Linked DNA regions of Tribolium castaneum. Each later gene encodes a partner of the first gene's protein in a complex. Links are inferred from orthologs where the notes say so. Each region holds a gene or a part of one and is shown on either strand. Other genes may lie near its edges.

Evidence for each region. The genes of interacting proteins can lie anywhere in the genome.
Region 2: mrn (region 1) and Polr2C share a complex: the UniProt entries of both Homo sapiens proteins name them as parts of the TBP-based Pol II pre-initiation complex. The link is inferred for Tribolium castaneum from reciprocal best matches to the Homo sapiens genes GTF2H4 and POLR2C.

What each region holds. Positions count from the first base shown.
Region 1 is NC_087396.1:20,771,853-20,776,034, reverse strand, and holds mrn (general transcription factor IIH subunit 4), read left to right. Parts: upstream 1-1,559; 5' UTR 1,560-1,682; intron 1,683-1,708; exon of another isoform or gene 1,709-1,739; 5' UTR 1,740-1,759; coding exon 1,760-1,911; intron 1,912-1,956; coding exon 1,957-2,061; intron 2,062-2,110; coding exon 2,111-2,242; intron 2,243-2,294; coding exon 2,295-2,480; intron 2,481-2,528; coding exon 2,529-2,709; intron 2,710-2,766; coding exon 2,767-2,850; intron 2,851-2,942; coding exon 2,943-3,136; intron 3,137-3,187; coding exon 3,188-3,428; intron 3,429-3,472; coding exon 3,473-3,616; 3' UTR 3,617-3,643; downstream 3,644-4,182. Other genes in the region: G protein pathway suppressor 2, read left to right, coding at 3,948-4,182. UniProt on the Homo sapiens protein: Component of the general transcription and DNA repair factor IIH (TFIIH) core complex, which is involved in general and transcription-coupled nucleotide excision repair (NER) of damaged DNA and, when complexed to CAK, in RNA transcription by RNA polymerase II.
Region 2 is NC_087398.1:8,331,880-8,335,022, forward strand, and holds Polr2C (DNA-directed RNA polymerase II subunit RPB3), read right to left. Parts: upstream 1,682-3,143; 5' UTR 1,626-1,681; coding exon 1,540-1,625; intron 1,495-1,539; coding exon 1,323-1,494; intron 1,275-1,322; coding exon 887-1,274; intron 840-886; coding exon 661-839; 3' UTR 629-660; downstream 1-628. Other genes in the region: uncharacterized protein LOC103314913, read right to left, coding at 16-237, 283-558; uncharacterized protein LOC103314918, read left to right, coding at 1,884-1,931, 1,996-2,223, 2,271-2,432, 2,478-3,143. UniProt on the Homo sapiens protein: Core component of RNA polymerase II (Pol II), a DNA-dependent RNA polymerase which synthesizes mRNA precursors and many functional non-coding RNAs using the four ribonucleoside triphosphates as substrates.

The DNA of each region.
Region 1 (4,182 bases):
TTATCACAAGGTCGCTGCCAAGAAAGAGATAAGCATTATAATTATTATAAAAAATAATAATTACAAATACAGAATTTCGGACGAATTGTAATTTGATTGACATAAAAGTGCAAAACTGGCTTCAACTGGCTTTTTTATGTCTTACAAAATTAACTTTCCATTTTTGTCGACGCATTTAACCCATTCCACATGAAAGCCCATTAAATACTCTACCTTTCCTGAAAATTTCATCCCTCTAAAAGTTTGGGAAGACATCCAACCCTTAGTTTGAAATATGTCAACATTTTATTAATAATATTAAATATTTTTTTAGTACTATTTCTTTTTGTCGACGCATTTAACCCATTCCACATGAAAGCCCATTAAATACTCTACCTTTCCTTAAAATTTCATCCCTCTAAAAGTTTGGGAAGACATCCAACCCTTAGTTTGAAATATGTCAACATTTTATTAATAATATTAAATATTTTTTTCTAGTACTATTTCTTTTTGTCGACGCATTTAACCCATTCCACATGAAAGCCCATTAAATACTCTACCTTTCCTGAAAATTTCATCCCTCTAAAAGTTTGGGAAGACATCCAACCCTTAGTTTGAAATATGTCAACATTTTATTAATAATATTAAATATTTTTTTCTAGTACTATTTCTTTTTGTCGACGCATTTAACCCATTCCACATGAAAGCCCATTAAATACTCTACCTTTCCTGAAAATTTCAACCCTCTAAAAGTTTAAGAAGACATCTAACCCTTAGTTTGAAATATGTCAACATTTTATTAATAATATTAAATATTTTTTTTAGTACTATTTCTTTTTGTCGACGCATTTAACCCATTCCACATGAAAGCCCATTAAATACTCTACCTTTCCTGAAAATTTCAACCCTCTAAAAGTTTGGGAAGACATCCAACCCTTAGTTTGAAATATGTCAACATTTTATTAATAATATTAAATATTTTTTTCTAGTACTATTTCTTTTTGTCGACGCATTTAACCCATTCCACATGAAAGCCCATTAAATACCTACCTTTCTTGAAAATTTCAATCCTCTAAAAGTTTGGGAAGACATCTAACCCTCTGTTTGAATTAGTATGTCGTTCTATTAACTTTTTTTTTCAAATAATGTTTTTGAAGAAGAAATTAACGAATAATTATCTTATTTAGGTGGAATCTGCCCCCTAAATAATTGGGTAGCATGCCCTCCTCGTTTTTGTTTTGCCTTTATTAGGCGGTTTCACCTTTTTGTGTCAACTAGTAAACTATCTACATCCCCCATTGCTTTCAAAGATACAACAAGTTTGAAATTGCATTTACTTTATTTTTTTTAATAACAATACACTTGAATTTTAAAAGAAAATGAGTAAATAATTTATTTTCTTATAATTTGTGAGAAACGTAGCAACGTCGCAAAGTGCTGAAAACGCACATCCGTGATTTGACTGGTCCGCTGGAAATTTCATGGTGCTAGCTCTTTCCAAAGTGCTATCGTCACCGTAATATTTTTGACCAACCCTGCCACCCAAATTCCCCAACGTTTGAATAATTAAAAAAACATAGCCAAAATATTTTATGCCCAAAAACTTGGCATTTCGAAGCAGAGCGAAAACCAAGTTTTTTCTACACTTATTAAGACGAAGCGAGTGGTTAATTAAATAACAACTCCTTCGGAGGAAAAGTTGGGTTAGCTTTAAATCTGACAATTGCGTTGACAGTAGTTACCCTAACCCTAATTTTAAGTTTGCAAGGGGGCTGTTTAAATGGCAGACGCCGAGCCCGCGCAACCCAGCTCGCTTTTTTTGAAACCAACAAACTTAGAATGTAAAAACTTGTACGACTACTTAAAAACGCGCTCTTCGGCAACGTTGGAAAAACTCTACAACCATCCAACGATTTGTTTGGCCGTTTACCGGTAAAAACCCACTTTAAAATTCCAAATTTCGATTGACGATTTTAGAGAATTGCCAGAACTGGCACGCCAGTACGTGATTCGAATTTTGTTCGTTGAACAGCCGGTGCCCCAGGCAGTTGTGGCGTCATGGGGGGCTCAGGCCTTTTCCAAGTGAGTGTTTAAATGCGCTTGTACACACGAAAAGGGGGGTTATTTGTAGAGAGCACGTTTATGTGAGTAAGGTTTTGAGCGAATTGTCGGTATGGCAGGAGGCTGCGATTCCAGGGGGGCTCCTAGGTTGGATCCTTTCAGTTACGTTTAAAAAGAATTTGAAAATTGCCTTATTAGGGGGGTGAGAGTGTAATTAGTGTGATTATTGCAATGACTGCGTGATTTATCCCAAGGGGCAAACCTTGGAGCATGTCTTCGGCTTTAGAAGTTGACAGTAAGGCAAGAGATGTGTCTTTTTTGGACGCTTATTCGCTCGAACGGTGGGAATGTGTGTTACATTACATGGTGGGGTCGCAACAACAAGAGGGAATTTCTGCGGATGCTGTCAGAATTTTACTACACGCTGGGCTTATGAAAAGGTTGAATTTCTCCAAAATTGACTCGTTATCTTATTTATATTTATGTAGAGACGAGGAAGATGGCAGTCCTGTTATAACACGTCAAGGCTTCCAGTTTTTACTCTTAGATAGGCAAGCACAAGTTTGGCATTTTTTACTCCAATATCTCGACACAGTTGAGCAAAGAGGATTAAGTCTGGTTGAATGTTTAACGTTTTTATTCCAACTCTCATTTAGTACACTTGGAAAAGTATGTCATAACTCATAACACTTGGCGTTTTTTTTTAATAGCAACATTTTTTTGTAGGATTATAGCACTGAAGGCATGAGTCCCGGCCTTTTAATTTTTCTCCAACACTTGAGAGAATTCGGATTAGTGTATCAAAGAAAAGTAGGTCTTGTTTTCGTTACCATGGTTACCAAATTTTTTTTTCTGGACGTCACATTCCACAGCACCCATGATTAATGTAATTAATTTTGTAGCGCAAAGCAGGCCGTTTTTACCCGACCAGATTGGCCTTAAATATTACGTGTAGCCAAGGCCCCGAAACTCGAATTTTGGAGGAAGACACTCCAAAAGGTTACATAATTGTAGAGACAAACTACAGGGTTTATGCTTACACGGATTCTAATCTTCAAGTTGCTTTAATTGGTCTTTTCACAGAACTGATGTATAGGTGGGTCACAAAATAAATAAAAAAATGTTATGACTATCGGACTTTTCCCAGGTTTCCGAACCTTGTAGTGGGCGTAATAACACGTGATTCCATAAGACAGGCTTTGAAAGGGGGAATCACAGCCGATCAAATTATCGGGTACCTCAAACAACATGCACATCCTCAAATGTTGGAAGGTGAGGCCAAACATCCTCTACCTCCGACAGTTGTGGATCAAATCAAACTGTGGGAAATTGAGCGGAACAGATTAACGTATTCAGAGGGCGTTTTATACAGCCAATTCCTATCACAGGTATTACAAGAAAAATTGTTACGCGGTTTTAATTTGTGTTTTAGGCTGATTTTAATATACTGAAAGAGTATGCACAGTCTAATGGCCATCTAATTTGGTGTAACAAAGAAAAACGGACTCTAATCATCAATAAATCGGCACATGATGATGTTAAAAAGTTCTGGAAGCGATATTCGAAAGGAAATTAATTTAGATTTAATAAAAACTTTACCACTGATCGTGTTTCATTTAAAATTCCCTCGCGGATGAAACAGTATCGCCAATCTAAACCAATTCTGTTTTCACGCGAAACGGGCGTTTTTCGCTACAAATTCGTATCAAAATGTTGGGAGTTTCGGCCCAAGTGCTTAAACTAAAAAAAACATGTGGAAGCGGGTCAAAAATTTGAGTTTTCGCCCAATTTTGGTTAAAATCTGGCCAATAAATTGTTGGCAATCCTGCCGACAAGTGTCAAACGTCATGTTGACATTGACAGTTCCTGTAAAATAACAATACGAAATAATTCGTAATTTGTGCAAAATGCCTGCCGCTGTGGACAACAGCAAGCCGGATCGGTCCGAGCAGATGTGGAAGGTGCTCAAAGCGCACATTCTGCGTGAGCGCGCTCGCAAAAAGCAAGAACGGGAGGCCGAAGTGGAAGAGGAACGTCTCCGTAAAGAACGCGAAGCTCGCGAGCAACAAGACGTCATGACTTTGGGTGAAACCCGCGAACAGATCTCACAGCTTGAGAGCAAGCTCCAGAAACTGAAAGAGG
Region 2 (3,143 bases), on another chromosome or scaffold:
AGTGGTTTTTCTTACCGGATCGCCTGCTTGTTCGACCGTGGTGTTGGGGATATGTCTCTCAGTGGGTTTGACGGACGATTCCTGGATGGCTTTCGTCCACTCTGAGGTGTACATGTGGGCCAGCAACAAGTTGCGCATTTCGGGGTCTGAAACGTCGTCGATACTCACAGCTGGGGACATGTAAACCCTTGGTCTTGTCTTGATTACGTTTTCTTTGGCTGCATTCTCGGGAATTACCTTAATTGTATCTTTTTATTTTGTTGACTGTATTTTTGTACATACGGGGGTTTCGAAAGGTACATGGGGGTCCGTGCCTGTGATCTCTTTGCGTCTCCAAAGTAAGTTAAACGGGATGTAGACGTCGGGGCGTCGGGCCGCAAAAGTTTCATTGTCTTTAGGGACATACTCACTCGGGGGCTTGTCTTTTTTGTCCAAAAATTTTGCTTGACAATTCAAAGTGTCTTTACGAGGCTCAAGTGGGAATTTTTTGTAGTCATTCTGATAAGTGGTTTTGCTTCTAAAGATGTCCAACTTAATTCTGTCGTCGTGCTCGTTCATTTTTTCAACAGAAAGAAGGAACTGACTGTTTCAGTAATTGTAAAAAGTGACAGTTCAAACAAAACACTAATTTAAAAATTATCGGCTTTATTAACGTTATAATTAAATAGCAAGGGCATCGTTCTGTACTTCATGATTAAGCTGAGTCTGCAAATTGGACAATTTATCCTTCAGCATTGCCACCCCCATTATGACGATATTTTCGGGTTTTAGGGCTCCTGCAGCTTCCACATTGAAATAAAACTTGTTTGGTTTCAATTCCCAGTTAAAATCAGCCTCGTCTGGAACATTATGGTCAAACAAAACAACTAACAAGTAAAATATTTACATTGATCCTCATCCAGTTCGCTGTATTCGCTCTTGGGCCATTCGTCTGGCTTAGGAAAAAGCGTGTGTCTCATAGCATTATCGGGGTCGTACTCGAAGGCCACCCCCGCCGTGGGGTTCCACTTGGCGTGTTCCTTACCGAACCCCTTTTTAGCGTAAGCTTTAACCTTCAACTCTTGCCCTTTCCGCAACTTGATGATCAGAATTTCGTCAGTGTCGCCATACTCTGACGATTCATCGTCCCTGTGTTTGGAAGTGGCCGGAATAACTCTAGGATCGCTCGATTTTAAATCTGCGGTGGTAACGTGCCGCGTGTGGTCGTCAGTGCATTTCACATCAAGGGTGAATTCAACACTGCATTCATGACAAAAATCGGTGCAAATGCAGTCCTGGAAATTGCATTTTAGATGTGAAATAGATCAAATTAAACGACTAACTCTTGGGTATTGGAGACGTTGCACCACGTCGTCTGATATGAGGGGGATCAAGCCTATTCTGTGGGCCAAAAATTCGTCACTTAGGACGGTTGAGTTCGCCTCCAACTTGACCCAATCGATGGCCAAAGTTGGCGTTTCGGCGATTAGGACGCGCCTGATGCTGTTAGCCACGCTAAAAATTGGCCAGTTAGTGCCCCCTTAAAGAATTGTTGCTCACCTCAGATCGGTGTCTTCAATGTAGAATTTCACATTATCGTCGGTTAAATCGGTTATGTGGACCGAGGGCTGGTTTGCGTACGGCATATTAGAAAATTTCAATTACGAAAAGACAGGATTTGAACTTTTTTTAACACAAACACCGACAACAACACGACAGAACCTCAAAACTTATTATAAAAGGCAACTTACAGCACTGTCTTGTGTAACTGGTTGCCTGTGCCTATCAAAACTGTCAATTTTTGTGGTGTCAAGGATTTGTCAACCTCTGCAAATTTTTATTTAAAAATAAAAAACGCGAAAACAGTTTAAATATCGTGAGAAATTAACAAGTGTCCAATAATAATGACCGATAACATTCCCACAACGCCATATGTAGTTCAAATTAGTGAGGTAAGTGCTAATTGTTATTTATAAATTAGTAAGATTAAAGTATTATATTGCAACGTTATTCTAGCCCCTCGAAACCATACACTTGGCAGAACAAGTTGATAGTCAACTACAGATTGCCCAAACCGTGAGTAATCCTCACATCTTAGTTGAATCCATGGATAAGCCTCTTGAAATCATTGAAGAACCTTGCACGAGTGTTCCCCAAGAAGAACCACTGGGTTTCCAAATTATGTACCCCGAGGAACAACCATGTGTCGTCAAAATTGTGTACCCCCAAGAACTGAGTTTGATTGTGAGAACCACTTATCTCTTATTCCTTGAATTTATTTTTTTAATTAGCGAGCTCCAAATCTTGTAAAACGTGGACGCCCTAAAAAGAAGAAGCACGAAGCGCCACAAACTGATGCAAATACCGAATCAAAAACGGACAATGTCGAGGCTTCTAAAGCTTCCAGGACTCGTTCTGGTCGTCTAGTCAAGCTCCCAAAACACATAGAAAAGGTAAATTTTCAAGTGTTTTAGAAGTTAATCAGTGATGTTTCACAGGATTTCAAAAAATTTCAACCCAGTGTTAATGATCGCGAAGTACAAGTCACGGATTTTGAGAGAGTTGAGGAGAAGGAGAACAGTAAAATAGAATTTGCTCAATTACAGACCAGAAAGCGGGTGGTGAAAGCCCAGTTCAAGTGCCCCAAATGCTTCAAGGCTTATTTGGGCAAAAACAAAATGATTCAACATTTGAAAAAAAATCCCGACCATGGGCCTCTACCCGAGGGTTACCAGCAGTACAATTTCGATGTTTGGAATTATTTGTTTGACATCACCCAAAAATGCAAGGCTGGGCAAAGGGGCGTCAAGTTTTGCGAAGAATTGAGCAATTTGCTACATAACGTGCAGTTGCTAAAAAGCGCACTGTTTAAGACTGTCACAGATAACAAGAATTGTGTTCAAATTGATAAAGTTTTAGGCAATGCCATTGGCCTGGCGCCTGGGAAATATAAATTTGATGAGAATGAGTTGTATAAGGATGTCACTGTGCTTAAATTAATTACGAATAGCGATTTTTTCAAACCGAATAATGTGAATAGCACTGCTAAAAATAAAACTGTTGAGGAAGCTTATGCGGATCAGAGCGAAAATAAGAAAATCAAAACGGAAACTCCCAATTTGGATGAAAGTTTGCCACAAAGTGGTGACAGTGGGCTCTTAAAT